Mus musculus: one gene and its partners. The protein of the gene in region 2 purifies or fractionates together with the protein of the main gene of each other region. This does not show direct contact. Links are inferred from orthologs where the notes say so. Each region holds a gene or a part of one and is shown on either strand. Other genes may lie near its edges.

Region 1 (10,467 bases), on a different chromosome or scaffold from region 2:
GAGGAAAGCAGGAATCAGTCAGGGGCAGTTGAAAAACAGAGTTGCTGAGCACGCAGGCGCGAGAAACAGGTCTGAGGTGTAACAAGGGGAGCTTGGAAGCTGGGAGTGCCTTTGACAGCTACAGGAATTTGGTCCTCTAGGTCACTGGTCCGTCCTGCTAAGACCCAGAGGGATAGAGTCACACCAAGGCCTCAGCAGTGCTCTGGCATCCTTAGTGGCTCTTCTCCCTACCTGCTCTCATCACGTGGCTTCATACTCTTCCACACAGACAGCTACACTGAATGCCCTTCTCCTTAACTAACTGGAGAGTTACAAGTATTCAATTAAGAAAAAAATTATTCAACACTGACATTTTATTTTCTGAAGTTTATCATAATTTTACAAAACAGAACAAAACAAAAAGAGCAGGTATCAAAAACAGCAGTTTATAGAGTTTCTGCGCTGGTTCTCACCTCAGTCAGTGACTCTGGAGTTGGCATCTTAGGGAAAGACAAGCAGGCTGATTCCCTCTCGGCCACGCACATTCAGGTGGTTGGTTTCGGAACTACTTTGTAATAACTTTTTACAAGCACCGGTCATTTTTTGAGAATCAATTTGGTTTGTCCAACGAAGTAAACACTTTTTTTCTTTTACTATGTGGCATTTTTCTTTCTTAAAAACACTGAGCTGAAACACAGACTGTGTCTTTGGATCAGAACCAAATCTTCTGAGATCCCCATTACCTGAAGAACACTGAAGACGTCCTCGGGAAATCATGGGAAATGTTCCAGTGAACACTTGTGTAATGGCTAAGGCAGCTACCTTATTTCTGATGAAAGTATTTCATCCAGAGGCTGCTGGAGGCCTGTCTCTGACTTGGGACTGTTTCCCCAGGCAGCCTTATTACCAGAAGGAAATGGGATGTTTGTGCCAAAGAGGCGCTTATATTGTGTAAATACATTTATATAGAGCAAGACTCCTTGCTCCGGACCCTGGGTCACCACAAAGAGATTGAGAGGCCATGAAAGTTGGATGCTAACAGGAAGTAGCACACTTACACTTATAGCATCATCTGGAGGCAAGCGGAAAGAAGGCTGGAAACTGGTAGTAGGGCTCACCCACTACTTGCCCTGGAAACACATTTTGCTTAAATAAGGGAAGTGTGGTCCAGTTTTGCAATGTTAATAGCTGCCAGTCTCTCATTTTTAAAAATAAAGATCACTTCCTGACCAGCAATGAGTTAGGAAACTGGCCTCAACTTTGATCACATCTCTCAGTATTGGTTAAAAATAAAGTAAAACCCTTAAACCAGGCAACAGAGTTAGAAATTGCACAATCAAACTTGAATATAAATTACAGAATGTGATACATATTATTGACATGGTTATGAAAGGGTCAAACATCCCCACTGAGACAAAATTTTCTCCACATTATTTCAATTTTCATTAAAGGAAACTGATATGTAATTTTCTTCTTTACAGATATGAAAAAGGAAGCAAGAAGGCAAAGCTGAGAGAAACAGATGCTACCCACAGGGCAGCGGTGCCATTTGGTTGTTTTGGTCTTTATACCAGCAACTCCCACTTCTGTGAACGGTGTCCAGTTCCAGCTGGACTACACGGTTTTCCTTGCAGTCAAAACTCGAACAATGGACCCCACTCCTCCAGCAGCAAGGGCCTAAAACAAACCAAATACACAGAAGAGGTCAAAGGGAAGTCAGTCTAAGGTTAGGCAGAACCCCGAACTCATTAACTTGGTAAGTTCTTCCTGAGCATCCTCTATGGCCCAGGCCGGTCTCAGCATAAAGCTGATGACAGTCTTACTACTAGGACTTAACACATAACAAAGACCAGCCTCTCAGGCTCCAGCCCCTGTGAACTTACTTCCAAACAGACGCTAGTCACTCTTCTAGTACACCTTGTCTAAAGAATGTTTAGGATGTCTGTAGCACAATGTTTCTAACTAAAACGTTCAAATATAAACCCAGGACATTCGCCATCTCCCTCCCTCACTGAGGTTGGGAAGAACCTGAGGCTGGGACCAGTTACCCCAACTTCCACTCAGTTTGCAGATTTCCCCCCATGGTAAGAAGGTATTACTTAAGAGCTAAGAGCTGATCTCTAACTTGGAATCTCTGACTTGAATACCTGGGAGTCATGATTAAATATTAGCAGTTGGAAATTTTGGTGTACTTATTTGGTTAACAGTTATACAAGAAGAATATTTCAGTATTGTGTATGAAGTGCTGTGTGCTATCTTCGAGTTCTACAAAAGCAGAGTAAGGGCATATGCCTAGCCGGACAGCAAGAGATGTCAGGGAAGCTGACAGCCAGATACCAAAAGCCAGTGTGGAGGTGTGAGGGTGGGGTGCACTCAGGGAAAGGCTGGTACTGCTGAGGCCTAAGGAAGAGTGAAATAAATGGGTCGTCAATGAATGACAAGATACCTTTGGATTTTAGATCACTTTCCAGCAGTTGGGTAGAAAACAGAATGGTGCAAATCAGTTAGGACACTATAGCAGTCACTCTGAGATGCCGCAAAGTGTGCATTAGAGACCTACTGGTACAGATGCACTTGAGGAGTACTCAGAAAGTCAACCCCGGAGAGATCTGGAAAAACCAGACAACATATGTGCTGCTCTCCTCACCAAAGTGAGTTTCTCCTTCTAGTACTGAATCTGGGTGTTGGTGGTGCACGTCTTTAATCCCAGCACCCCACGAGACAAAGGCAATGGCTCTGAGTTCAAGGCCAAGCCTGGTCTACAGAGTGAATTCCAGGACAGCCAAGATACACACAGAGCCCCTGTCTTGAAAAACTACCCACCTCTGTCAAAGAGAAATAAATGAAATGTGAGCAAGAATAGAGAGAGCCTGCAAATAGAGTCCAAATAAGATGACCATACAAATTACTCCACAAGTTCCGTTCAGCGAGAGGGCGCACTGTACTTAGGACGGATACGATACCGGAATACTGCAAGGAAGGCTTTCACAAATAGCTCTTTGGTAGTGTATGTAGATAAAGTGATTTAACTAAGGCTCAACAACAAAATTTCCTTTTAGTTTTATCTTATACACATGTTTTCACTCCGACTTAAGACAAGGGTTTTTAAAAAGAACTGATTTTCAGGGTCTGAAGGATGGCTCAGCACATCAAAAGTGCTAACTCACAGAGTTACATTCCCACAATGTACACAAAAAAAATCATAGGCAAATTGAATGGTTAACACCTGGAATCCCAGCGTTTCTATGGAGAGATGTGGCTATGTTATTGTTAGTATTTTATCAGTACAAGAGCTAGGTATGAAAGCTTGCTTTGTGTACATGTATGTGGGTACAATGTACGTGAATGTGTGTGTGTGTAGGTAGTCAGTTCTTTCTGCCCATTATGTGGGCCTCAGAGAATGAGTCAAGTTGTCAAGTTTGCTGGCACGAAATTCTAACCAACTGAGTCACCTGGTTCATCTATCTACTAAATTCTTATACAGAACTAAAAATAATTTCCTTTTCTCTTCCTCCCTGAGACCAGCCTCCCAGTACAGCATATAATTCATTATGTAGACCAGCTTGGCCTGGGATACCTCTCTCTAGAGACATACACTGCCATACATGCCGATAACAATTTTTGAAATACAAAACTACAGTGCATGAGATCAACCAAGAATGCTAGGCAAATACTCCTTCTCCATGGCCTTTGGCAACTTATTATAACTTTCGATCCCTTTGAGCTTGCCTATTTCAGACTATTTCACACAAGTAGAAATATAAATACTTCTTTTTTGTTTTAAAGATTTATTTATTATTATATATAAGTACACTGTAGCTGTCTTCAGTGTCACCAGAAGAGGGTGTCAGATCTCATTACGGATGGTTGTGAGCCATCATGTAGTTGCTGGGATTTATCTATATTGTAGAATGTACAAAAACTCCATTCCCTTCCATGGATGAGTAACACCCCACTGTTTCTAGGTACCATATATTAATCTTTATCTTGGGTTATTTCTATCCTTTTTTTTTTTTGGTTTTTTTGAGACAGGGTTTCTCTGTATAACCCTGGCTGTCCTGGAACTCACTCTGTAGACCAGGCAGGCCTCGAACTCAGAAATCCGCCTGCCTCTGCCAAGTGCTGGGATTAAAGGTGGATGCCACCACTGCCCAGCTATTTCTATCCTTTGATTAATGTAAAAGAATTCATATTTCAAGTACATAATCACTTATGTACTAAGTATATGCAAATAAATATGCAGTGCAAAAAGGAATCCTTTAAGATCAAGGCTGGTAAGCAAATGTAAACTTTTCATTTTAGTCAAGGTGTACAGTCAAGTCACTTCTCAGGTGACAGAGGTGGCATCTTCCATTTTAAAGGAGCCAGCTACAGGGATGTGTAAATTGTAACTTACCTTTTCATGCCACTGGAGCAACACAGCACTGCTGTTGTCAGATGGGCTCTCAAAGCCTTTATAAATATACTTCATTAGGAGGTCCACACCGTTCTTGTCCAGAGACTGCACTGCCTTTTCAATATCATTAGCTTTAAAAGAGATAAGCACCTTCAAGACGATGCTGCCTGCACGGTCCTGAGGGCAAATGTGGAACAGAATATTTAGACATGTGTATGCTGGGCACAAAACCTTAGGAAGGCCCTGCTAGAGTGACATCTCAAGACTGACGTGGAGGATGTGAAAGAAGACTCCTTGGGAACATGGCCAGCGATTAGATGAAGGAAGAACAAGTGCTGTGAGCGTGGGTTTCAGAGCGTTCAGAGTGTTCCAAAGATTCTGGTGTGACAGAGCTGTGTGGTGGCAGAAGCAGGAGCAAAAGAGAGAAGACAGGAGAGGACAGGCCATGTGAGGGCCAGCGGGCCACTGTAATGGCTCAGGCTTTTACTGGGAAACGACACGGTGGAGAAATTCAAGAGCAGTGACCCAATCTGTTTCCCATTTTAAGACTGTCTGGAGGACAGCAGTGAGGGCAGGAGTAAGACAAAAGCCCACTGGGGTGATTCCAACAACACTGGCTGGTTCTGGCTGGCATGTGAGTCGAGGTGGTAAGAAGGGAACCCCCTCTCTTTGTTGGTTTGCTGTTTTAGAGACCGGGTTCCTCCTTGTAGCTGTGGCTGTCCTGGAGGTTACTCTGCAGAACAGGATGGTCTGGAGCCCACAGACCCCCGCCTGCTTCTGCCTCCTGAGCTGTGGGATTAAGGGTGTGCGCCCACGTCCGTGCGCGCCCACGTCCAGCTCAGGAACACATTTTTTTTGATAGAACTGAAGGCAGAACTGGGGACTGATAGACTGATGGACTGATGGGAAAATTTAACAATTTATTATAACATTTAAATTTACTTCTTGGTCTTAAAAACTCCTAACCAAAGAAAAAAACTGATTTATGTAATTCTATCTTGTTTGATCTTTCAAGAGTGGTTATTTTCTTAAAAGATCCCTTTTAAAACCATGTAAAACTTTTTAAACTTTCCTACTTACAGACGTTAGATTTACCTATACTTATCTCTGAACTTCTCCTCTGGGAGAGCCTGTTCCAGAAGCACAGGTGTCCCCTTAGGCATTGTCTAAGCAGAGGGGACACGGAAGCCACCCTCTCAGCTGTTCACTGCTCCTTCTGTTCAACACAGTGGGGTCTTCGGAGTTCCTATGGGCGGGGTTTTACATAATGTTTGTACCGCCAACGTTCTCTTCAGTTTAAAGACTGACTGACATTTCCCTATATATCTTTGCATCTAGAGCTATAACCTCCTATCCACAAGCTGCCAAAAAACAAAATCAACAAACAAACAAACAAAACCACATAAAATCAGAAGGGGTAAAATTGAAAATTTAATGATGTTCCTAACAACTTTTAAGGAGCAAAGAAAAAAAATTCCCCAATATAAAGTTTTGTGGCTGCAATAATTATTATGTTTTTACATATTACTCTTCAATTAAGGTTCTTAGGTTCCTGAGATGTAGGCTTTTACAGGGCTTTGCTTAGCCTGCATTTTAAACAATAAACAACTAAGCAGTTCCCTAAGAATCAGTGGAGGGCTGATGTAGGGATGTAAGCTACAAAGCTCTTCTGAGAGATTTGGCAATGCTTTGTGTATCAAAAGTCTTTAAAAAATGTCATTTTTGTGCTAGCATTTCTCTTCTGGGAATTTTATTGACATAAATAATTAAGATTTAAAATGATCAATTTTAGCAGGAAAAACTAGAAAATCTAACATGCAATAACAGGGATCAGTTGCATATAAGATGTTACATACTAGTGTATAGCAGTTAAATGCCACAGAAATAATCTATTGCTAAGGAAAGAAGATCATGTACATGACTACACAGCTGGAGTGTAAGATTCTATTTATTTTTTAAAAGAGCACAAACCCTTGTAGAAACTCCTTAGGTGTGCAGCGATACCATATAAGGCAGTGACTGAGACCCAAGGAATAGCATGGAGATCACCTTTTTAAGCTTGCATGCTTTGTTTTCTATAATATTTACAAAATTAGGAAAAACTATAAGACCCAAGGAAGTAGGACAGAGATCACCTTTTTAAGGTCACGCATGCTTTGTTTTCTATAATATTTAATATTTACAAAATTAGGAAATCAAGAAGCAGCTGTGTGTGTTTGGCAAATTTATTTTTCAAGCCCATTTAAATCCAACCTGAGTGGATTCCTCCTGAAGCACACGCAGAAGTGATGGCTCTATCCTTTAAATTTACTGCACTCCACACGGCACTCTCCTAACTCTACATTTCAGGGCTATTTTTTTCATGACATTTTTACTTGTCACAAGCTCCCTTTAAAGCTGGACGTGGTGGCATATACCTTTAATCCCAGTGGAGGCAGGAGATCTCCTGAGTTTCAGACCAGGTTATAGACTGCGGTTCAGTCTCAAAAGTCACACTGTAAACTCTTGTGTCAAGGACAGGAAATAGGTACAATGTTGACTGTGGGGCATCAAAGGACTTTGCTAATAGTGAAACAGAAGAGATTAATGCTGTAGTCTGAAACTCACCTTCACTGCCTGGCTCTTTGTGTTAATAGGGGGGTTTTTCAGAGCAGCCTGGAGAGCAGCTGTCATGTTTCCTGTAACGAAGGTTAAGGGTGGAACAGAAAAGGATGGCCCCTGCTTTACAGGAATATTGGTTTTTGACTTGACTTTCTGCACAGTAACAAAAGTTACTATGGTCATTATGTTCGATATTAGAAACTGCATGGGTGTGTTTCCCACATGTCAACCAATGGTAAAAATACTGGAATTAAACAATAGATTTAAAAAAAAAAAGCAAAGACTGTTTTGACCTCAGTTCTATCAGTCAAATAGATTACACTTTCCAGTGAGATACACGCAATTGTCTAGATGGGTATTCAAGAAATCTTAAGACTATGTGTTAAGAATTATTAGGTCACCAAATGATGCAGTTTACCAACAAAGTATACCACTTGTCTGTGTGACTCTTGCTGGAAAACAACCCTAGACTTTATACTGAAACTACACTGTGTATTAACTGAAATGCTGGCTGATTATTCTGGCAATCAGAATGGAAGAATAGCTTAATATGAACAGGGCTCTGGATGATGTAGTAACCCGCACGACCTGTAGGTGGCAGCTTACTTTATTTCCTACAGGTTATTCAAACTGGGCTGGACCATCCATACCTACTCAGTCTCTGAAAGCACTGGTGAGTTAGCAAGCAGGGGAAACGGAAGGCCAATCAGACTGTCAGAACAGACAGTCATTTCCCTAAAAGGAGAAACAGAGTCACTGGTTCCTCCATCTGTAGTACCCGACCAATCTGAAGTCTCTCCTAGTTAGAACCAGAGACAATATCTTTATATTTTAAAATGGATTGACAAAAAGGTAGACTGAATTGATAATGAACACAGCAGTAGGAATCACCAGAAATTACCTAAAATACATTAGTTTAATAAAATATCATATATCCACCATAAAGACTAAAAAAAAAAAAAAAAAAAAAAAAAAAAAAAAACCCAAACAAACAAAGAATAAGCTCACCATTTCTGTGCAAAGGGTCTAATAAAAAATTATCTACAGTAGGTAATAAACTACTGTCAAGCCTGCATGGTCTTTTAAAGAAAAAAAAAACCCAAGTATTTTAACAAATAATCAAATTAGTAACAACTGTGAAAGTTATGGTAATGAAAGTTAAACCTATACTGCACATATATGTACGTTTGATGCTGTGGTTACCACTGTTTTTGCTCACTTTCTTCATTATAATCTAGTAGAAAATTGATGAGGGGAGAGCTGTATGAACAGACTTAATGAATACGATTTTTCTAAAGCTCCAGTTTGGATTTTTGTAACATTCTATTTTTCTAAGGGATCGATGCAAATGAATTTCGAGGTTATGAATATTCAGATATGCAAACCAAGGAACCAGGAACTGACAGCCATGTTTTAACTAGAAGGGAAACAATTTCAGAAAAACAATGTTGATTTATAGAACCGACTCATTCTCTGCTTTATTCACTGGGGTTCATCTTATATTATTCCCAGGGATTCTCTGCATGCATTCGCTATCCCTTTTTTAGTGGCCTTTTCTTAGCAGGTGAAAGGTTCCAAGCTTTAACTGGGAATTTTGGAGAAGAAAACTCCCTTCGGCTCGTTCATGAATTATAATGCCACCTTGCCAAAGCCCTTCTCTCTTAATAAACAATGCTGCCGATGAAATAGCCCCGGGGCTGAATGTACCGAGGGCCTCGATTTGCGAACCGCTCCATCTCTCCTGGCTAGGGATAAACTATCCCCGCTCCGCCAACCACACACACCGGACAGGAAAGCAAGACTCCAAGCGGGACGCCCGTGTCCCCACCGGGCAGAGACTGGCTCAGGTGCCCACTAGGACACCAGCGGTGCCCCGGGGAGGGCGCGGCCGCTTAGGACCGCGCACCTGAGGAATCGGGGCGCCGCCGGTAAGTTCGCCGGCGCGGCCGCGGGGTACAGGCGGCCTGCTGGCCCCGGGAGCTCCTGTCCTCCGTCCCCACCTAGAGCCGGGCACAGCCGGTCGCGTGGCCCCGCGTCCCCACAACCCCCGGCCGCCGCGAGCGTAAGGATATTGCCGTAGGCACGAGTCCACCTCGCCCTCGTCGGGCCCGGCCTGGCCATCGCCGCCGTCCTCCTCGTCCACGAACTTGTTCTCGTCATATTCGTCCACGTCCACCTTCCGGAAGCGGGCCGACGACACCGTGTTCTTCGACATCCCGGATCGCGACGCGACGCTGGCCTGCCCCTCCGCGGTGCCTCTCCTTTAGCGAGCCCAGCCCGGTCCGACTCACTTCCCTCTTCCGCTCTGGGGCGTCGCCGGCAGCCGCGGCTTGCAAGCTTCTGGGCCTGCGCGCTAGCGGGCTCGGCCTCCTCCTCTGCTTGCAGCCATCCTTCAGCCCCCGCTCCGCCCCCGCGTCCCCCGGGAGCGCGCGTCGGCAGGGGAGCGCGCGGGACGCACCGCGCACGCGCGGGCCCGCTGCAGGAAAGGGGCGGGGCTGGAGAAGGAGGCGGGGGCGGCGGGTCGACAGAAAGCTGGCAGAGGCGGCGCGGAGACGCGATTGGTCGCCGGGGAGCATCACGTGATGCCCGGGACGTTCCCATAGAAACGCTTTTCTGCGGTCCTGCCTTGCGGGGGGTCTTGGGCTGGAGGCTATGGGCACCTCGGGAGCGTGGCCTGGAGTGCTGCTGCCGCCGCCGCTGTCGGTGCCAGCCGCTGGTTGTTGGGGTCCGGTGTGAAGTGTGGGTGACCGGACTCGCGCGTGGGGTGCGATGGACTGGCTGCAGAACCTAGTCCCCTGCAGTCTGCAGGAGTATGAGGCAAAGTGATGCCCAGCTCGGAACTAGTGATCGGAGCCCTCCATTCGGACCGTGCGCCGCCGGGGGCTGCCTTCCCGAGCTGAGAGCCCCTTCCCCGGCTTGGACTCTTGGCACGCTGTCGGTGGGAGGTCCCCAAGGACGGAATCGAAAAGGTCACTTCTTACCTGTCAGTGCTGTGTGACAGCATCGCGACCGGACCTGCAGAATCTGAACTAGGTATTCTCTCCATCTGGAGGGAGGGAAAAGACGCTTGGGCCAGGTAGTGAAATTGGGGCAAACTTGTAGCATTTTCTAGAATCAGTCATCACATCTTAAAATAAGTAGTTATTTGGAGCAAGAATGCCAGAAGAGGGTGGGCGAGTTAGGCTCTTCAGTGCTGAGGGAAAATAGCGAGTGCAAGGATTAATAGAGACTGGACTTTCAAGGTTGTTATTTATTGTTTAAGGTTCCTGGAAGCACGTCAAATCAGCTTTTTGCTATATTCCATATTCCGGTTTGTGAGATCAGAGCTTCTGTTGAGGAGGCAGAGGCACAAAGATTAATCAAATAATAGCTGTGCTCTGTGTAATATACCGTAGTACAAGTATTTACAGAATAAAATTAATTCAGACATTTGGCTTTGCCCTGCTTCGATGCAGAACCACCTGGTTTCACGTATAGCAGAAGGCTGGATG
Region 2 (11,173 bases):
TGAGTTCCACATCAGCTAGGTGTACATAATGAAATCCTGTCTCAAAAAATATACAAAAGTTGGGGCTGGAGAAATGGCTCATTGGTTAAGAGCACTAGCTGCTCTACCAGAGGATCAGACTTCAGTTCTCAGCAGCCACATGGAGGCTAACAAGCATCTGTAACTGGTTCCAGAGAAGCCATCCCCCTCCTCTGATCGCCACAGCACGCACATGGTGCACACACACAGAGGCAGACAAAACACCTGCACACATAATAAAAAGAACCAAATCTTTTTTAAAATTAAAAAAATAATTTCAAAGGAGTTTGAGCAAAGGTAGCTCACATGAGAAGATGAAGCTACTCCCAGGAGCCCTAAGTTACTGAATGAAAATCTGAGGGCCAGGGGTAAGCTAGCTCCCCATGTGTTGGTCAGGAAGGCCCCTGAGCTTCACTAAGCAATACAGGCAATCACAGCATGCTGGATATCCGCCAGAGCGAAGGCCTTCCTGCTGGAGACATCACAGGTCTTGTCTGTGTCAGACACTGGTGCCCACAGAAGTTTCTTTTGTTACAGTGGTCTCCAGTCGCTTGGACAGAGCCTGTCCAAATTCTTAGAATAAATGACTACTAAATGACCAACCACAACTGGGAATCTATGTTGCCCGCTCCACGGCTCAGGGAACAAGTCAGAAACAGAAGTGGACATAATGTTGGGGGTGGGGGGCTGGAGAGCTAGTGATTTAGGGCACTGACTGCTTTTCCAGAGGACCTGAGTTCAATTCCCAGCAACCACATGATGGCTCACAACCATCTGTAATGAGATCTGATGACCTTTTCTAGTGTCTGAAGACAGCAACAGTGTACTTACATCAAAAAATAAATAAATCTTTTTTTAAAAAAAAAATTAAGAGTGAGCCAGCAGGGAATGGAATGGTGCTGAGTCTGTCTTTGAATTCCAGGCATGGCATAGCAGTGGTACCCTTGAGCTCATACCACCTATGATTCCCTGCACAAGAACTACACAGAACTGGACCAGTTGCCTTCTTCTCCTGGAAGGAACGGGTTCAGCAGCCCACTCCTCTGAGGATTTCTACAGAATTAGTGGGGAGGGCCACTTTCTTTAGTGGTGTAGCCACTAGTAAGGTGTCCGTGCTTCAACCTTTATGGAACTCACTGCCCCCTCCACCACCACAGACGCATGCACGGAGAAGTAGGGCTATTTGAAAAGACGAAGGAGTTAGCAGGAGGGAGTGAGAAGGGGACAAGAGAGGTGTGCCACATTTTGGAAGCTGAACTCTTGATTCTCTGGTGCTGAGCCTAGCCTTTAATGGCTGAGCTACCTCCTCAGTCCTGAAATGCATTCTATACACATGTGAAAATGTCATCATAGAACTGATGGTTATGTATAGTTAATACATACTAATTTTAAAAATGTTTTAAGTTGGCCTTTGGTGTCACACACCTTTAATCTGAGCACTTGGGAGGCAGAGGCAGGAGGATCTCTGAGTTCTGGGCCAGCCTGGTCTAAAGAGTGAGTTCTAAGACAGCCAAATAGCCAAAGCTATTGAGAAACCCTGCTCCTAAGGTCAAAGTCTGACATTACTAGAGCACCCTGAGCTTGATGCAAATGGTAGTCTTCCTTTGTTAGCCCGGCTTCCTCTTCACTGGAGGATCCTGGATCCCACAGCTAAGGACTGCCATGAAGACTGCACCTAAGATTCCTGGAATGCCTCCCCATGTTGATGAGGCATCTCAGAACCTTAAGCCTTTGTGGCCTTTGCCTGGATACTCTTATCCTCTTCCCCAAACCTATATAACCCTTGGTTCTCCTGAATAAAGTGTATGGTTACAAACCCACTCCAAATAAATATGCACAAGCTGAGACTGTCTCAAAGAGCTGGTTCATTGAAGACCATCAGAGAAGGCCTTGGCCGAAGAGAGTTATGGCACTAGGATCCCTGAAGAAAGGAGGCCTTCTCTCTCCCAACTCCCACCACTAGCTCTGAGCCAACCAGGATCCTGCCCCATCTGGACTCTGCTTCATCTTTCCAGCCCAGTGTGCAGCGGGTCTGGACACCCAGAGAGAGAGAGAGGCCTCAGACCCACAAGGGCTACACAAAAAAACCCTGTCTCCACAAACAAACAAACAAACAAACACACTTTTAAAGGAATGAGGTAGATGCTGTGCTAGGCTTTTTGATGAAATGCACAAGGGAAGAGCAACAGATTCTATGGCAACCCTTACAAAATTGCACAACCTCTATCTACCAGAAACACCAGACAGACAAAATCGAGGGGCAATATATATATATATTGTTATATCCTTGTTATATATATAACTATCAAAAGGATATATCTTGAAAGACAAAAAAAAAAAAAAAAGACTAAGGAACTCTTCCAGAAGACATGAGCTATAAATAACATAGCGACCAGGCATGGGAGGACATGCAATAGTCAAGAGGCTGAAGCAGGGGTTACATAACAGGACCTCACTCCATCCCCTTAAAAACATGACCACCAAATATAATGAGGCAATGCTAGACAGGATTAGACTCCAAAAAAGACAAGAAACGAAACTGCTCACAAGTGCAGATGGCAGACAGCACAGCACTGCAGCATCCATGTTAACATCTCTGACTTGAATAACTGGTCTGTGATCATGTGAATCCCTGCTCTCGCTCAGAAGGCAGACACTGACCTGTAAGAGGGAGGTGCCGAGAACCTTCTTTTAAGCAGCTCAGAAAAGTAAGAGCGGCACATTAAGGAGTCCAGAGGACACAGTGTGCAAAGCTGCTGAAACTGGAGGGATGCAGCCTGGAGTTTGTTCTCTCCCGGTTCTCAGGGACCTGGAATTGCTTCAAAGTCAGTTTGACTATGTAAAACTACTTTAAACATTTGGGTGAGACGTGAGACTGAATTGGTGGCGTTTTCTCTGGGAGCTCGGCAGCCTATTCATCCTTTAAAAAGCTGAAACTTAATTGTGGGTCTCACAGATACCTTTGTCTGTTTCTATCTTGTCCCCAGCATACTTGTGTACACTCATCTGGTCTCGGGGTTCATCGGATTTGAGGTCACAAAAGAAATGTATTTACTATAAAACACAGGCCAGATGAGCATGTGGGCACACAACTGCAATCCTAATGCTTAGGAGGCTGAGGCAGGAGGATTTCTCCAAGTTCAGTACAAGCTTGGGTTATACAACAAGAAGACTCTATTTAAGAGGGGGTGGGTATCAGAGAGAGAAAGACAGACAGTGAGACAGGGAAGCAGAGAGAGGGCACACTGACAGACAAGACTGGAACTCAGGGTGCAATTCAGTGGTAGAGGCTCCACTTAACAAGATCCCCAGGTTCTACGTCTACTACCACCACCAACACAAAACAAAACAAAAACCTGCCCATCTCATCAGTAGTGCCCACGTGATGAGTCTCCCAAGTGTATTCTGTTCCTCAATCCTGGCTATTTTTAGCTGCACTGTTCTATTCTAAGGTAAAACTCAGTCTAAAATGAGATCTCCCAAGTCTATTATGTTCCTCAGTCCTTGTTATTTTTAGCTGCATTTTACATTTAGTTCTATTCTGAGGTAAAACTCAATCCAAAACAAGAAATGCAAGAATCACTAATACATGGAAGCTGGAACGCTTAGGCTATGCAGTCATCTTCTGCTCACACACTGAACACTGGGGACTCGTGATAGCCACAGGGGCTTCAGTGGCAGAAAACACCCACAGGAAACCCCAGGTCCCTGTCACTGAGTCCAGAGCCTCTGACAGCCTAAAGATGCTAGCCTGAAGCACAGCTTTGGGCCATGACGATCTACTGAAGGTGAAGGTGACATCAGTCACTGACCCCAAAAGGTCAAGACTGAGCACTCTTTAGATCATTATAGCAAGAACAATGGATACGGTGTCAGCTTACTAATAAGAAATACAGCACAGATGGCCCAGGGAGTGCTGCTTTACTGTTAACACTGCGCAGAGAGAGCTTCAAGTCTCAGCAGTTTAGGCAACACAAAGCCAAAGTTCTCACATGCAGACATTAACATAAAAACAATGTTTACATATTGCCCTCATTGCTGACACTTCCAGACTGAAGGGAGTGGCAGATAGAGTGAGACAGTAAGGGGAGCCAACACATGGGGGAATGGTCCACAAGAGCCATACTGATTTGAGCAAGTCTAGGGAAGTCAGCAACTTCTCAAATACAGGGCAACAAAACTTCTCTATAACGTTTATTTCCAAAAGAAAAATTAGCAGAAATAGAACATGTTTTCCAGTCTGTAACCACTGCTGGTTCCGGAGCAACAAAAGGAAAGACACATCAGTAGGAGATGGACTGTAGCAAATTAGAAGACACCCCCACAAGGTTGTCAAGGAAACCAAACCAAGTATATTTTTCTACAGGAAAGAATTGCAAGAGAACATGCCACAGACTATTCGGTGACAAAGGATTACCATCCCTTGAAAAACATTTTAAGAGGCTAAATTTATTTGCAAGCTATTTATGAAGTACTTTGTCAGCAATGCCAGCAGGTACTCCCAAACTCCCAGGTTGGAGGTTTGGCTGCCACCTTCCTAAAATTAGCTAAGCCTGACAGCATAAGCCATTCTTAAGGTCTCTTCTGAAAAATTAACATCTTCAAAAAAGAAAAGAGTTATCTACTTCCCCAAAAAGGAGAGGGCTGTTTTTTTTTCAAAATGTTAGTCTTTTTTTAATGTGTGTGTGTGTGTGTGTGTGTGTGTGTGTGTGTGTGTGTGTGTTTTAAGAGCAAAGATAAGTGTATGCAAACCAAAGCAGGAGCTGGGCTAGGCTGTGCCATTTCAGAGTGGAAAAGAGCAGAGTGGGAAAGGGGACTGGGTGTCAAGTTGACATGGCACGTGTAAACATCTCCACGAGTAGGTGGTTGGTACATCAGTAGGGAAAGGTGACACGCGCGCGCGCGTGAGTGCACAGGATGAGGACAGGTGACAAGCACCCCGGGGATGGGGGGGAGAGGAACTACTCTGAGCTCTCAGGTGCAAGCCCTGCAGAGAAAGTATCTGCAGCAACATCCCGGCAAGGTGCAGCCCACCCGGTAACCCCGCAGCCTCATGCCCTCAGCACCCCATCTTCTCAGAGCCACATCCCTTAACTCTCTAAGCCCTCAGATTGAGCTCCGTCCCCCAGCTCCCACCCCACCTAAGCTCTATCCCTCAAACTCCCCAACCCCTCAGACTGAGCTCTGTCCCTCAGCACACCATCCCTCCGTGCACCATCCCTCCGCGCTCCTCCTGCCGTCTGACCCCGCGGGGAAATGGCTCCAGGACGCCCAGCGAAGCGTGAGTGGGCGCGTGGGGCGCGGCTCTTACCCGGTGCCGCAGTCAACCACGCAGGGAGGCAGCGAGCCCGCCATGCTCGGCCACGAGGCGCTCCGTCCCCACCAGCCCCAGCGTGCCCCTGGGTGCCCAGTGCCAAGGTGCCGGGTCGCAGGCAGCGCCGCTCCCCACCCAGGAGCTGCCGGGAGCCCAGAGGCTCTGCCTCGTGACGTCACTCTACAGTTGGCCAATCGGGGACGCGCACGCTCCGCCCTCTTGTCAGCCATCCTTAGTGCTGGCAGCCCGGCGTTTTAGCCTATGCATCTATCCTGCAGTGGAAGAGATTGGAGTCTATTTTTAACATGCATAAGGTGACTATGACCCCATTTGCGAGGCCTGAATTCTTTCTCTTCTCTCCTTTTTACAAATTGCAATTTTGTTTTGTTATGTTTTGTTTTCGAAACAGGGTTTCTCTGTGTAGCCCATACTGCCCTGGAACTCTTTCGGTAGGTAGTTCAGGCTAGCCCCACTTGCCTCTGCCTCCCTAGTGCTGGGATCAAAGGTGTGCCCCACCACTGCCGGCTTATCTAGCTGCAATTTTTTTTAAAGATTATTGGCTGTGTGTCTATCTGTCGCTATGTCTGCTGGTGTGTGCATGTATGTAAGAGCAGGTGCTCTTGGAAGCCAGAGGCTTAGGATCCCATGCAGCTGAAGTTATAGACAGCTGTGAATGGGCACCAGGAATCTGAATTGGGTCTCCCGGAAGAGCAGCAAGTGCTCTTCGCTGAGCCATCTCTCCAGCCCCTTTCTCCTCTTAATTCTCACTTCAATGTTCACTTTATTCTCTACCCCAACAATCTCTTGATTTTATTTCTAACACTTAAAGCTAGTTTGGGTACTTATTAGTAGATGTTCACCTCTCCTGAATTATAGGTTCTCCTAGGGCAGGGCTTCATGCTTAACACATTTGGTGCTCCGATAAAAATCACCTGAATGTTGAACGAATAAATAACCTTCACTGTAGAAAAATACTTATGACTTTCTATGATAGAGCACTGCATAATGTATCCTGGGAGAAAATCAACATATGCATAATTAGGCTTAAGGAATAAATGACCTTAGTCAATGCCACATCAATATTACTAGGAAATATTTTCTAATATCAAAGATAGGGTGATTATCCAGCATCATTGTGGAAAGGAGACTTAAGAAGGAAAACACCTACCTACTGGAAACCCCACTTGCACCCTAAATGTTAGCCTCTAAAGTTCTTGACTGTGATGCCAAAGGAACTTTCTAGAGATGTATTAATTCACTTGGTCTTTACTGGGACTTAAAGCATTGTGGATTTTCCACAGGAGAAGAATTAGATTAGTTGACCATTCTTGGGTAATTCTTTTTTTTTTTAAGATTTATTTATTTATTATATGTAAGTACACTGTAGCTGTCTTCAGACACACCAGAAGAAGGTGTCAGATCTCATTACGGGTGGTTGTGAGCCACCATGTGGTTGCTGGGATTTGAACTCGGGACCTTTGGAAAAGCAGTCAGTGCTCATACTGGTTGAGCCATCTTGCCAGCCCTTGGGTAATTCTTTCTTTCTTTCTTTTTTCCTGCATGCAAGGGAGCAAATAATCCTAAACCTAAAACAATATTCAGGGGAACTAGAGAGAGAAACAGAAGACAGATAAAGAGGATGGAAGCTCCCAAATGGGACCCAGAACTAGAAGCAAGATATCTTTCCTTCCGTGCATGTTACCAATGCCCTGCCCATTTCGATTGTCTGTCAGTCGGTCTGTTTTTGAAGCCTGGACCAAAGCAACAAAGACCCCACTACAGGCTGTTGGCAATGCCCTGTACTTTAGCATCATTTACTTAATGTACACTTATTATATTGGTCATGCTTTAACAGTGTGAGTGATGATTAATAATGATGTCAAGTCAACAGGACCTAGAACACCTAGAAGCAAACATGCCTGTGAGGGAGTTTCCACATTGTGTTAATTGAGGTGGAAGACCCACCCTAAATGTGGTTGTGGCCCCAGGGAAAATAGGGGAGAGGAGGTTGGCTGAGAAGGGGCACTCATCTTTGCTGACTGCAAGCACAGTGTGGCCAGGGGTCCCATACCTCTTTTGCCATAGCAAGGATGCCATGCTCAAACTGCAAGCCAATTAACACTTCCTTGATATTGCCTTTGCCAGGTGTTTTGTTAAAGCAACAAAAGTAAAATACAAACAGTAAGCAAGTTGTTCACAGGATCTGGCCCTAGAACAGTGGTTCTCAAACATTTCTAATGCTGTGACCCTTTAATACAGATCCTCATCTTGCCACGCCCCCAACCATAAAATCAATTCATTGCTACTTCATAGCTGTAGTGTTGCCACTGTTGTAAATCCTAATATAAACATCTGATATGCAGGACATCTGATATGTGGCCCCCACCAAAGGGGTCTCAACCCACAGTTGAGAACTGCTGCCCTAGACTCTAGTCTGCCACCAGTGATCAGGCGATTGTAGTACAAATGCTAGGTGCAGAAATGCAAGATGTCCAGAAAGCCATTCGAGCACCCCTGACCTCGACTTTTGGATCAAGTAGATGTTTTCCAAAGCCATGAAGTCTAAACTGAAACCCAGAGTATAGATAGAAGAGGAATATGAGCTGTGTGTACTTCTGAGAGAGGAAACCCGGAAAGCCAGGATAACCCCAGAGCCCAAATGTCCTGTTCACTCTACAAGGAGGAAGCGTTACAGAAACCTGAAGCTGCCCAGTACACAGTGTGCCTTTCCATGGACTGTCCACTCTGCATAGGACTTACTGGGACTGATGGCCGCTCCAGTCACTGATAGGAAAAAGATTTTCAGACTTCAGCAATTTCCTCTAGACACCACTAGCCCTGAAGATTATCAAAGATGTTTTTGTGCTATGATTGTGCCTGTTTTCCCCTCACTTGGAAGGCTTGTGAGAAAGGATAAAACATCCAAAGCCATCCTAAGCTACAGGGTTAGGCCCTCTCTCAAAAAAAAATAATCCAAAAATAAAATAGATGTGGACAGCCAGTAGAACACAAACGTATCTAGACACCTTAGAATGAGCAAATTATGTTATCTCATTTTGTAACTGAGACCCATCAGCAATTCTGTGGAATCCTCATGAACCTAGGCATTCTGCCCCAGCAGACCCTGCACCCTGGCCTTGGTCCTCAGGCATCGCCTCATCACTACTCATCACTACTGAAATTCCACAATGCAAAACTGTAATGATAAATCCCCTTCCAAGAGGGATAGAGACCAGACTCTGAAGAAGCAATGTTCCCATCTGTTTCCCCTTTTGTTTCACTAGCCCAATGGACCTCAAACTTCCTAACGATATGACCCTTTAATACAGTTCCTGGTGCTATGGTGACCCCAAACCATGACTGTCGCCCCACCTCAGCCGGCAAGGAAGACACAACACGGTCGGATTCTTCTCAACAGCCTTTATTGCAGGATCGCCTCGATGCTGCTACGGGGACCCAGGGAAGTCTGCTTATATGCACCCCAGCACAGGGAGAGGCTTCGTGGCCCCCTGGGATTGGTCAGTTGGCCGGCACCTAATTTGCATGCACCTGCTCGGGAGGGGTTGGTGCCAGACTCGGGCTTACACCTGCGCTGATGTTGTTTATGACAACGGCACACCGGAAACCGGCGCCATCTTAGAGTTGGCTTCCTACACATGACATTCTTTTCATTGCTACTTCAGAACTGTAATTTTGCTACTGTTATGAATTGTAATGTTTTCTGAAGGTCTTAGGTGATCCCTGTGAAAGAGTCATTCAACCCCAAAAGGCGTCACAACATACAGGTTGAGAACCACTGCACTGACCAATGCCTTTTTTTCTAGTGAATGGGCCAAAAGAAATTACCACAAATGGAGTGGCTTAATACATATACTTACATCATTCAAGAAGCCAATGTCAAGTGTAGATGGGGCTGTGTTCTCTAAAGACTGTAGGGGGTTCTGTTCTGTGCCTTTCACCCACTACCAGGAGCTGCTACACTCCTGGATGCCTTGGCTTGGGCATGTATCACTCTCATCTCTGCCTGCATCATCTACGTTTTCTTCTCTCTCTCTCTCTCTGTCTCTCTCTCTCTCTTTGTAGATGTCCATGCACATGTATGTACATGCATATAGAGGCCACATTTGGATCAACCTTAGGTATCATTCCTCAGATTCCATCCACCTTTTTTTTTCTTGAGGCAGGGTTTTCTCACTGGCCTATAATTCCTCAGGTAGGCTAGGCTGGCTAGCCAGTGCGCCCTAGTAATCTGCCTGTCATCACCTCCTAGCACTGAGATTATAGGTGCACACCATGCATAAATTTTTAACATGGGGTTCTAGGACTCAAAGTACAAGAGCCTGTGCTTGCACAGCAAGTGTTTCCTGTACTCGCTCAGCCATCTCCCAGGCCCTGATCATGTGTCTCCCCTTCTAAGGAAACTAGCTGTGTTGAATTAATTACTGCACATATGCATATATGTTCCAAATAAGATCACATTTACAGACACCAAAGTTAAGACTACAGCATGTCTCTTTAGGAGATGCTGATCGACCCATAATACCAGCTATGCCAAAAGTAGGCATCAGTTCTATGATGATTGTCAAAGGTAACCACTCTGTTTAGAGATGAGCCTCATGACCTTTGAAGTCTGTGGTAGCCAATACCTGCCTAGAGTGTGCTTTGATTTGCAAGAAAAGGGGATAGCTGTGTCATAAAACACACTGTGCTGAAGTGCAAAGGAAGGCAGCTACCTGCAAGCTTAGAAGACACACCATCTTACATTGAAAGCTCCAGGAATCCTGTGCCATTGTCTCTGCTTTGATCATGCCTCGGGCAAAACACCCACATTCTGGAAGAAGTAAAGCATAATTGTATCACCAAGGAGGTATGTGCTCTCAGACACAGGCAAAACTCCTGCTACTAAATGCATGTTAACCTAGGATGTGTTTCCCTGTGAGTTCTTGACCTGCCTACCTCATTTGTAGCCTGAACTAAACTGGTAATGAGAGAAATGTTTGAAGTCGCTTTCATTTGCAGAAAAGGTATCTCTGTTTTATGCTTCTCCCTGCCAATGACTTTGCACTGACAGGAGTGGTGCATGGCCTCTGTGGTAGATAAGATGTCACACCTTACCTACCATCCTGCACACCATCCTGAGTGCTGAATCAGCCCAGCACTAGTCTCTCAAATGAGCTATTGATAAACACCATCCAGTGACATGTATATATGCATATGAAGACAGCAAGAATAAAATAACCAATCTTAGAAATGGTCTAACTTAGCCCTTGAGTAGCTGAATAATATAATTCTACTTCCTCTGCTTAACTAGCTGTGCAGGGGCCAAGAAAGAAAAAGAACACAAAAACCACGGGCTGCTTCAAAAACTGCCCACCCAGCAGCTCTATAAACCTTAAATCTCAGAGCTGTAGGCAGAATCCAGCTGGGTGTTCTCTGTTGCCATGAGAATGCAAAGAGAGAAAAGATGACCAAAAAATTAGGACCCAGTTCCTTTGAAAGTATCTGGCATTCTCCTTTAAGAGGAAGGCCCTGCCACTGCTCTCAATGGACCTCCCTGCTGTCTTGGCAACGGCAGGAGAAAATGATCCAAGCAGGGGTTGATTGGCTAAGTGTTCAGAGTGTGTAAGGGAGTTGATAACAGAGCAGAGCCACAAGACTTTAGGAAATAATCCAGAGATCTGAGCGTGTTCACAGCTCTGCTTTGTTTCTGTCTCTGCTCTGGGCAGTTAGTTACTCAGGCTGCAGCCTGGTCCTCCACATCCCCTCTGAGCCTTTCTCTTCCTAAGCTACCCAGCCCCAGAGTCTCCCTCATTCAGTCCCCTCACCCCCACTTCCTTTTCA
Region 3 (10,698 bases), about 97 Mb from region 2:
CAAGGCAGGTGGATCTCAAGAGTTCAAGGCCAGCCTGGTCTACAAAGCAAGTTTCAGACTAGCCAGGGCTACCCAGAGAGGCAAAATACATACTTACATACATATATGATGGGTGTCAGTGGTGGGTTTGTAGTCATCCCCTCAGACATGTGGCATCACTCAGGCCCTTATAATATGCTTGGTTTTCATGACCACTTAGTCCTTGCCATGATCTGGGAAGACATACACCATACCTTGTTGAAAGAGTAGAAATGATATACACATTTAGTGGGTGACAGACAGGTCAAAGGGGTAGGCTCAGGACTTTTCTTTCCTTTACCCCTGTGGTGGTCCCTGACTGTCTTAACATGACAAGGAAGATAGACACCACCGTCGGCATCATAAAACTAAGCAAGAAAAATAAATAAAAATAACAGGAGTGATGGGCACATATCTGTAATTCCTGAACACAAGTGGGTGCAGATCAGTTCATATTCATTTATATGTATATGCCAGCCTGGACTTCATGCGACTCTTAGCAAAGAAAAAATTGAAAAATAAAAAATATTGGCCGCCAAGACGGCTCAGGGTGTAGGTGTTTCTGAAGACTGTGTTGGTTCCGAGAGTATCACGGTGGAAAGTGAGAACTGATGTCCCCCACCTTGCATTGTGGTAAAAGTACAAAACTAAGCCAGGTGTGGTGGCGCACGCCTTTAATCCCGGCACTCGGGAGGCAGAGGCAGGCGGATTTCTGAGTTAGAGGCCAGCCTGGTCTACAGAGTGAGTTCCAGGACAGCCAGGGCTACACAGAGAAACCCTGTCTCGAAAAACCAAAAAAAAAAAAAAAAAAGTAAAAAACTAGACATAGCAGAAGGGTAAATCAGGCGACTGAGTGGTACTGGATTTGAAGCTGAAGCCGGGAAATGAGAAAAAAAACCCAAAAAACAAAACCGGGAGCTGATTATTAACCACTTGCGAGGGAGTCTTCAATTTCAAAATCCAGCCTTTTATTCTGAACGTGCTTTATGCATGCGCCACGGTCATCGCCTCACGCTGACGCGCCCCCTGGCGTCACTTGCGGTCAGCGCAGCCGGAGCAAGTCACCGGAAGTGCGTTTATTCCTTCCGCCCGCCTCTTCCGGCTTACTTCCGCCCACTCCACCCAGGCTCGGTCGTCGGAAACGCTTTCTGAGTTCGGCTTCTCTGGATCGAATCCGGACACCGTCAAGATGCCGGTAAGCATTCGAGCCCCAGGGGCGGGGAGCCGAGCGGGGCGAGGGTCCGAGGGGTGGCAGGAGATCTGTGTCATAAGGCCGGGGAGAGAGGAAGCGTCCGCCCTGATCTCCAGCCTTTGCCTCCAACACCGGCTCGCCTGCCCCGCCGCTTCCCCCCTAACCCTGCCGTGTTCCCAGATCCCACCCTAGAGCCTCGAACCTAAGAACGATGGCTGGCTTTTAATTTATTTTTAAGTCTAAGGTCCAGCTTCTCCTTTTTTTTTTTTTTTTTTTTAAATTTCCCCCTTGTCATTTCCACTTCCTCCTCCACCCCAGGGAGTGGGATCGGCCTGCTACCTAGTCACCTGTCAGACCTCACTTCCCTGATGGACCCCTTCCTCCGTCTCCCTGCTCTGACTCCCACCCGACTCCCTGACCACCACCGAGCCAGCGCTGGTTTCCTTTTTCGTGTGCATCCGAGTGGGAGGAAATTGATGCCGATTGCAGCTTAGCGAAGGGACGCTTGAATAGCGTGCACCCACACTGAACCAGTGTTACTGACCTCTCGCTGTGAAGCCAGCATTGTTGACAGCAGCGACTAAGGGCCACTCAAGGAGCTCACAGTTTAACGGGTAGACAGTAACCATGCAAATGCACATAGGAAGTAGTTTCCTATCTTAACAACTGCTGTGACGAAAACAGATAGATGGCAGTTAGCCTACCCCTATCGCTCAGTTATCGCTCATCCCAATACCGAGGCAGGAGGATGGCAAAGTTCAGGCCAATGTGGACTATGTAGTGAGTTCTAGGCCATCCTGGGCTACAGAACTGCAAAGCCTGTCTCCCAAGAAATGGGGGAAGAAAAAAAAAAAAAAAGAGGCTTGCATGCAGGAGGTGGGGTCACAAGGTACAGCAGCTCATGCCTGTGACCCCAGCTCTGGGGAGGCAAAGGACAGGCAGATCTTCTGGCTTATTGGCCAGCCAGCCCAGCCAAAAATAAGCAAGTTCTGGGTTCAATGAAAGACGATGTCACAGGAAATAAATATATATATAGAGAGAGATAGTAGGGGCTGAGGAGGTGTCTCAGTGGTACAAATGAGAGGACCTGAGTCTGGATGCTTAGCACCCAAGTAAAACAGAAGGGGCGGGGGGAGGGCATGCAAAGCGTGTCTGCAGTTTCGGAGCTGGGGATGTGTAGAGTTCCCTGAGGCTCCTTGTCTCAAAAATAAAGTGGAAAGCAGTTAAGAAACAGACCTATGGCCTCCACCTGTGGATATGAGCATACATACCTACATGCACACATATGCACACACGTGAACATGAACACTACACACACACACACACACACACACACACACATGTACACATGCATGGTCATGTGCAAAATAAAACTAAAAACAAAAACCAGTACCTGGTGACAGGGATTGGGAGAACAGGGGACCCGGGGATGTGGGCAAGAGGCTGGCATAAATAAGGCTTATTTATAATGAGTAGGAGAGCAAGCCTAACTTTGAACAGTGTGCATGTGTTTGAGTAGCAGTGGGGAATTGACCCCAGGGCCTCATGGCATGCTACATAGATGCTCTACCACTGAGCAGTATTCCCCCATCTTTTTTACTTTTGAAAAGGGGTCTTATAAAATTGCCCAGACTGGCCTTGTAGTTGTGATCCTCCTGCCTCAGCCTCCTAGGTAGCCAGGATGACAAGCCCGTCCGGCATCACCGTGTTTGGCTTTGGAAGATTCATGATTCCTATAGTTAGTATATGTGAAGACCCAGAGTTACTGTCCAAATGAGCCCCCGCATCTCCGGATGACACTGTCTTCCAGAGGTCTTGAGTTCAGTTACTAGCACCCACAGGGCAATTTACTACCTATAATCGGATCTGATGCCCTCTTCTAGTATGTAGGCATACAGTTTTCTAAAAATGATGTGGCATGAAAGTTTTTAGTAGGTGGGGCAGATTTATAGAATATTGGCTTTTGAAGGGTTGTTTACCATTAATGGAGGGAAATTCCCAGCATTCTCAAACTACCCTTTAAGAGCACTGGAGTTTTGTCCCCAGCATCCACATCCAGCAGGTGCCAGCTGCCTATAAGTCCAGCTCCAGGGACCCCAGCACCATCTGCTGGACTCTGTGGGTACTGCATACACACAGAAATACCCGTCCACAGATATAGTGCACACACATAATATATTTTTTGTTTTGTTTTGTTTTTGTTTTTTTGAGACAGGGTTTCTCTGTGTAGCCCTGGCTGTCCAGGAACTCACTCTGTAGACCAGGCTGGCCTCGAACTCAGAAATCCACCTGCCTCTGCCTCCGAGTGCTGGGATTAAAGGCATGCGCCACCACGCCCGGCTATAAGATATTTTTTAATCTTTAAAAAAAAAATCACGCTGAGCAGTTGGTAGCATGCACATTTAATCTCAGCACTTGGGAGGCAGAGGCAGGCAGATTTCTGAGTTCGAAATCATAGGACCAGCATTTGAGATTGTTCATCCACACAGTTCCCTCTCCTTTAGCTCATACGCACTCACCAAAGGTGTGGTGTATCTTGCTCATTTATAAGTTTAGAAGCAGACTGGTGGGAACTGGAGTAGAGTTGAGTTGGTAGAGCATTCGCCTGTCATGTCTGAAGCACTAGGTTTACTCGCCAGTACTGTGGTTATCTAGATCCATCATCCCAGCAATGGGAGACAGAGGCAGGAGCGTAAGAAGTTCAAAGTCATCGTCCCCTGTGAAGTAAGTGAGAGGCCAGCCTGGGCTAACCTGCATAGTAAGTGAGAGGCCAGCCTGGGCTAACCTGCATAGTAAGTGAGAGGCCAGCCTGGGCTACCTGCATAGTAAGTGAGAGGCCAGCCTGGGCTACCTGCATAGTAAGTGAGAGGCCAGCCTGGGCTACCTGTTGTGGTTGAAGGGGGTGGGGGTGGGGAAACAGGTTCCAGGAAGAATCGACCTGTGGTCATAAGGACAGGAAGTGGCAGATTTCAAAGCCAGGCCTTGGGTCCTGGTTTGCTGGAGGGTGGGAAACCTGTTTTGTGTGGTCTCTGTAGTAGAGTGTTTCAGCTTGCATCATGTCACGGAGTGCAGAACTGGAGGAAGCGCATCCTTCCATAATGCACGTCTAGCCTAAGGATGCAATCCCAGGAGGCACAGGCAGGCGGATCTTTGTAAGCTTGAGGTCAGCTTGGTCTACCTAGGGAGTCCCAGGTCAGCCAGGGCTGCTTGGAGTAGTGAGAGCCTGTCTCAAAAAGCTGACGTTGGGGGCATTCAGTCAGTGAAACACTTGCCACTCAAGCACGAGCACTTGAGTTCTGTCCCAGACTTCACGAAAGTGGCCAGATGTGGTGGCATCTGTCTATAAGCCTAGTGCTGGAGAGGCAAAGACAGGAGGATCTGTGGGGCTTGCTGGCGGCCTGTCTGTCCAGGTGGTGAGCTTCAGGTTCAATGACAGCCCCTGTCCTGAATATAAAGGTGGAGAAGCAACTGAGGAGGTCACCTGATGATGACCTCTGACATGTGCACACATGAGCACCCAGATTCATGAACACACACTCACACACACTCTCACACACGATACTAATAGGAAAAAAAAAGAACCTGGTCTCAAAAAAAAGCTCTGTGTGTGTGTGTGTGTGTGTGTGAGTGAGAGAGAGAGAGAGAGAGAGAGAGAGAGAGAGAGAGAGAGAGAGAATGAGAATATGAAGATCTAAAGAACATGGGCAGGGCCTGACGGGACAGGAGAGATGGCTCAGCAGTTAAGAGCGCTAGCTGCTCTGTCTTAGTCAGGGTTTCTATTCCTGCACAAACATCATGACCAAGAAACAGTTGGGGAGGAAAAGGTTTATTCAGCTTACTCTTCCACATTGCTGTTCATCACCAAAGAAAGTCAGGACTGGAATTCAAACAGGTCAGGAAGCAGGAGCTGATGCAGAAGCCATGGAGAGATGTTCTTTACAGGCTTGCTTCCCCTGGCTTACTCAGCCTGCTCTCTTATAAAACCAAGACTACCAGCCCAGAGATGGTCCCATCCACAAGGGGCCTTTCCCCCTTGATCACTAATTGAGAAAATGCCCCACAGCTGGATCTCATGGAGGCATTTCCCCAACTGAAGCTCCTTTCTCTGTGATAACACCAGTTGTGTCAAGTTGACACAAAACTAGCCAGTACACTGCTCTTTCAGGAAGTCCAGGTTCAACTCCCAGCACCCTGTTCCAAGGGATCCCACACCCTCACACAAACATGCATGCAGGCAAAACACCAATTACACAAAATACAAATAAATTATTTTTTAGAAAAGAATATAAATAATAAAGACAGGCATAGTGGTACTGAATAGTGAGACCCTGTCTTGACAAAACAAAACAAGAAGGAGAACATTAATAAAATGAAGTAAAATTAGTAGAAGACAGTGGTAAAGTGTAATTTTTTTATTTTTTGGTTTTTCGAGACAGGGTTCCTCTGTGTAGCACTGGCTGTCCTGGAACGCACTCTGTAGACCAGGTTGGCCTCGAACTCAGAAATCCACCTGCCTCTGCCTCCCAAGTGCTGGGATTAAAGGCGTGTACCACCATGCCCGGCTCTGATATATATATATATTTTTTTTTTATGATGGGGTTTGAGGTACTGCCTACCTCTGTTTTCCGTGTCTAGTTTAGTGTGAGCGGAGGGCTACGCTTATCCACCAGCTGACAGAACGTCTCAGAATCCACCAGTTGGTTCTCTTGAGTCAGGCGCTGGCTCCCCGTAAGCCGACGCCAGCCCTTTTCTCCCACAGTTGGTCCTCGCCTTGTCTCCTGGTGACACTTGTTTTCTCTCTTCCCTGGGCTGGCCCCTGCAGGCATACCACTCTTCTCTCATGGACCCGGACACCAAGCTCATCGGTAACATGGCCCTGTTGCCCCTCCGAAGCCAGTTCAAAGGACCCGCCCCTCGCGAGAGTAAGTCTCTGGGTTCTTTTGTTGGGTTCCAAGCAGACCTGCTGACTTGAGAGCAGGGAAGAGCTTAGCTTGAGTCACTCTTCCTTGGCTTCCTGTCACACTTGACCAGGAGCAGCCTGTTGCGCTCCACAGGAAACTGGTTCAAACTCCTCCAGGATGTTTACGTGAGCTGAAAGGAAATGTGGGCTGTGGGGCGTGGCCCCGTTGGTAGAGACATGGCTTGGCCTGCATGAGACCCCCAAGTTCCATTGAGAGCCAGGGGATGTGGTACACACCTGAAATCCTAGCACTTAGGAGGAGGCGGCCGGAAGATCTGGAGTTCAAAGTCGTTCTCAGCTAGCTCCAGGCCAACCTGGGCTACTGAAACTCTGTCTCAAAAAAAAAAAAAAAAAAGGAATTGTGTTGAATTCTGGCCACAGTCCCCACAGGCACTGTCAGTTATTTCAGACTAACTGAATGGCAGGTCCCCAGCCTTCTTCTGACAGCATTGTGTGGGCATAGGCAGTACCTCGGAGGCTGAGATAAGGAGGTGGCTGGAGTCTGGTAGTTCAAGACCTACCTAAGCAAGGGTGAAACCTGTCTCCAAAAACAAGGAAAATGAACCTTTCCCCCACCAAAGCTATGACTTCTTTGGTCACCTTTAAAAAAAAAAGTCACTTGCTTTTGATTCTGACTTGTGTGTGAGGGCCCACGGGAGCCACAGCACACAGTTAGAGGTGACACCTGGTTCTTACATGAGTCCCAAGGGTCCTAACTCCGGTGACGGAGCTCTCTCTGCAAGCGCGCTTACCCGCTGAGCCATCTCCACAGCCCTCTGTCAGATTCTCACCATACCCCAGTGTTAGACCTTTCTCGGATGTGTGAGAAGGGAATCTCTCTCTAAAACCCTGGTGGGCCTGGAGGTCAAACCACTCTAGCCTCAATTCGTGGTGCTCCTCCTGCCTGCTTCCCCAGTGAGACTCCTGAGTGCTTTGAAACAGTTTATGTCTGTGCTTGCTTTTGTTTTTCTGAATTTTATTTCTTTGCTTTCTTAGTGGTTTTTGTTGTTTGTTCCGTATTTAACTTGTTTGGTTTTGGTGGTGGCTTGTTTTGCTTTCTTTCTTTCTTTTTTTTTTTTTTAAATTTTGCTTTTAAAACAAGAACAAAAAACCAGATGGTTTAAGGAAGCCACCCGAGCTCTGTCAGCTTCTGTGTGGTTAGAGCGGCCATTCTGAGGCCATGGGGCTTCGCCTGGTGTTTCACACTTTTACAAAGGGCAGAGTTGAAAATGGAAAAAGTAGCTTTATGTCCTGGAGTCCTCGAGCCCGTTGTCTGTCCTTCCTCTCTCTGACGCCCCTGGTTCTTGGTCTTCTTTATAGATGTTATCCTGTGCACACCCTTCCACCTGCTTGCATGAGGGCGTTACAGGCTGGGATCCTCGCACGGGGGAGATCGTGCGTTCTTTTCTGTTTGGGGTTTGGATCACCTTGATGGTTGCATGTTCATCCTCTTTCCTGCTCATCTCATGATTTTGTTATCAGGGGGCTGGAGAGATGGCTCAGTGGTTTAGCACACTGGCTGCTCTCCCAGGGGGCCAGGGTTCAAGTCCCAGCACCCACATGGCAGCTTACAGCTGTCTGTAACTCCAGTTCCCGGGAATCTGACGCCCTCACGCAGACACACATGCAGCAATACACCAATGCACATAAAATAAATAAATCTCTAAAAAAGATAAAAACCCTCCTGATTTCACTTACCTTCACAGCCTAGTGATGCTCCGTTTTGTATGGAACTACATTTTCATTGTCTGTTCTTCTGTTGGTGGACAACTAGCTGGGTTCCTTGTCTTTGCTACCGAAATAAAGTAGCGATAAATGCAGATGTGTAGATAAGACTGTGGCAGGACAGGAGGCCTTGGGTATGTGCCCAGGAGTAAAATAGCTGGATCATATGGGAAGTCTATTTTTAATCATCTGAGAACCCTTCAAACTGATCTCCACAATGGCCATGTTAATTTGCACTTTGACTACCAGCCGGTCAGGCTTCCCTTTCCCCCACATCCTCTCTAACATTTGTTGTCAGGTTTTTAAAAAGCATGCTTAGTTTTTTGATTTTAATATATATATGTATGTATGTATGTATGTATGTATATATCTTAAGTTGGACAGTTGTAGGGCACACCTTTCATCCCAGCACTCAAGAGGCAGAGGCAGGGGCTGATGAATCTCTGTGAGTTTGAGGCTCCTGGTTTACAAAGTCAGTTCCAGGAAAGCCAGGGCTACACAGAGAAAACCTATTTCAAAAAATCAAAAATACAAGAGAATTTATTTTATTTTGTGTGTGTGAATGTTTGCCCGTCAGGATGTATATGTACCATATTTGTGCTTGGTGTCCACAGAAGCCAAAGAGGGCATTGGAATTCCTAAAGCTGGTGTTTCAGATGGTTGTGAGCCACAATGTAGGTGCTGGAAACTGAAACCGGGCCCTCTGAAAAGCAGTCAGTGCCCTTAACCACTGAGCCTTCTCTACAGCCTGTGACTAAAGTTAGGGTCTTGCTGTCTAGCCTTGGCTGACCGGTACACCTCCTGATAATTGATTGGCCTTGTGACTCGGGTAAGGTAGTGTCTCCGAGCAGTATAAACTTGTGTATCCCTAAGATCAGGAATGTTGAACACTTTTAAAAATAGTTCCTGGCCATTTGTATCTCTTATTTTGAAAAGAGTCTGCTCATTCACCCATTTATTGATTGGTAGCTGGTGGTCTTGTTTGTGGGGGGTTTTTGTTTTGTTTTAGTTTTTGTTGGGGGGTGTTTGTGTTTTAGACAGGGTTTCTCTGTGTAGTCCTCGCTGTCCTGGAACTCGCACTGTAGACCAGGCTGGCCCCACACCAGAGCTGCCTGCCTCTGCCTCCCGAGTGCCGGGATTAAAGCTGAATTGTGATTTCTTTGATATGTGCTCACAGCTTGGTTTCCCAGTCTAGTCTGAGAAGTTTGGGATTATACACCCTTACTAATTATTGTTTGTAGCCATCAAGACGAAGTGTCCACTCTACCCTCAGCCGCACTCCGGATCCCCCATTCCATTTCTGAGGCAATTTTTCACTGTTCCCGAAGATTTTTTTCTAACACTGACAAGTCTTGAGATGTTCCGCCAACGGCGTCATCCTTTCTGTTGTTGCAGACACAGAGCCCAGACCCTGCAAATGTCTGGCCCGAGTTCCATGCCTGGTCTCCAAGCACACAGTTACAATTCCCACCTGTGTCCCCTTCCCCTTCCCCTTCCTTTTTCTGCCAGGTTATTTGACTTGACTTCCTCTTAAATGAATTTGTTTGCAACACTGGTTGAAATGTAAGTAAATTGAGTAGATCTGGCCATTCACTGCTTCTGAGAAGAAGGAGCAGGTGGGGAAAGACAGCCTTGAGGAGACCTGCAGTACTTAAAAGTTGCTGGCCAGTGAGCCCTGTCACACGGTTACAGATAACACATTGCTCTAGAAGATACAGCCAACTCAGAATGGAGAACATCCTAGCCACCTTCAAGCTGAGTCCTCCAGGGAGAAACAGAACACGTGAGGGTGACTGTCCCTCGTCCCAGAGGGGCTGGAACTGTTGGAGCAGATGTCTGAGATAGGGTTTGTCTGTAGCATGTGGGAGGCCCTGGGTTCGAGCCTCGGCTCTAGAAAAATCCTTTCCTGCTGTGCATGTATCTTTGCGTGCCTCTGTGTGCCAAGCTCTGTGTAGGTCTCCTCCGCCGTCTCCCTTAGGTGCTCTGGAGAAGTTTCCTTTCCTTAGGGGCGGGACGCTAAGGACAGGAAGGTAGAGTTAAAGTTCTGACGCTGACGCGGCCCTCAGAGAAGCACCAGCGAGGCTGTGAGGGAGTGGTAGCCCAGGCCAAGGCTGTCATGTGGTGCTGATGCAGCCAGCTGCTGCACGTCAAACCCGGGAAGTCTGACCTTTCAAAATGAAAAAGAGAGGACAGACTGCCAAAGAGATTGTGTAACGAGATGTGCGTCTGTCACAGAGTGCTCTGGCTTCCCTCAGTTAGTGGCAACTTAGAACCTGCTGGATTTAAGCCATGGTTTTCATAAAAAGAAGGAAATGTCCCCGATGTCCCTAAATAATTTGAGCATTTCTCCTGAGATGACAGTGCGTGGGCTCGAATAAAATTATATCAACACTTGGTTACACTGTGCTCGGGCTAAAGGGAAGGCTCAGAGGTTAAGAGCACTTCCTGCTCCTCCAGAGGACCTACATTGGCCTCACAAGCACCTGTAACTCCGGCTCCAAGGGACCTGGTGCCCTCTGACCTCTGTGGGTATCTGTGCACATGTGGCATACGTACAGACACACATGTAAGGGTTTTGTTTCCTTGGGTTTTTTGAGTTGGTTTGGTTTTGGTTTTGAAGACAGGGTTTCTTTGTGAAGCTCTGGCTTTCTTTGAACTCTTGGAACTCGCCTTGTAGACCAGGGTGGTCTCCAACCAATGGATCTACCTGCCTCTTCCTCCAGAGTGCTGGGAACAAAAGTGGGTACCACCACTGCCGGAATGTGTGCTGCACGGTTCCCTGGGAGCCCAGCAGAGGGCGCTA

The links.
Region 1: the proteins of Actr3b (region 2) and Arpc5 purify together in Homo sapiens (affinity purification with mass spectrometry; 5 studies listed by BioGRID and IntAct, counting the BioPlex papers as one, with this or other methods). This does not show direct contact. The link is inferred for Mus musculus from reciprocal best matches to the Homo sapiens genes ACTR3B and ARPC5.
Region 3: the proteins of Actr3b (region 2) and Arpc3 purify together in Homo sapiens (affinity purification with mass spectrometry; 6 studies listed by BioGRID and IntAct, counting the BioPlex papers as one, with this or other methods). This does not show direct contact. The link is inferred for Mus musculus from reciprocal best matches to the Homo sapiens genes ACTR3B and ARPC3.

Annotation. Positions count from the first base shown.
Region 1 is NC_000067.6:152,765,449-152,775,915, reverse strand, and holds Arpc5 (actin-related protein 2/3 complex subunit 5), read right to left. Parts: upstream 9,375-10,467; 5' UTR 9,192-9,374; coding exon 9,049-9,191; intron 7,056-9,048; coding exon 6,983-7,055; intron 4,553-6,982; coding exon 4,376-4,552; intron 1,657-4,375; coding exon 1,594-1,656; 3' UTR 336-1,593; downstream 1-335. UniProt on the Homo sapiens protein: Component of the Arp2/3 complex, a multiprotein complex that mediates actin polymerization upon stimulation by nucleation-promoting factor (NPF).
Region 2 is NC_000071.6:25,754,285-25,765,457, reverse strand, and holds the start of Actr3b (actin-related protein 3B), read right to left. Parts: upstream 5,486-11,173; 5' UTR 5,374-5,485; coding exon 5,330-5,373; intron 1-5,329. UniProt on the Homo sapiens protein: Plays a role in the organization of the actin cytoskeleton.
Region 3 is NC_000071.6:122,390,785-122,401,482, forward strand, and holds the start of Arpc3 (actin-related protein 2/3 complex subunit 3), read left to right. Parts: upstream 1-1,093; 5' UTR 1,094-1,207; coding exon 1,208-1,213; intron 1,214-1,754; exon of another isoform or gene 1,755-2,527; intron 2,528-6,032; coding exon 6,033-6,132; intron 6,133-10,698. UniProt on the Homo sapiens protein: Component of the Arp2/3 complex, a multiprotein complex that mediates actin polymerization upon stimulation by nucleation-promoting factor (NPF).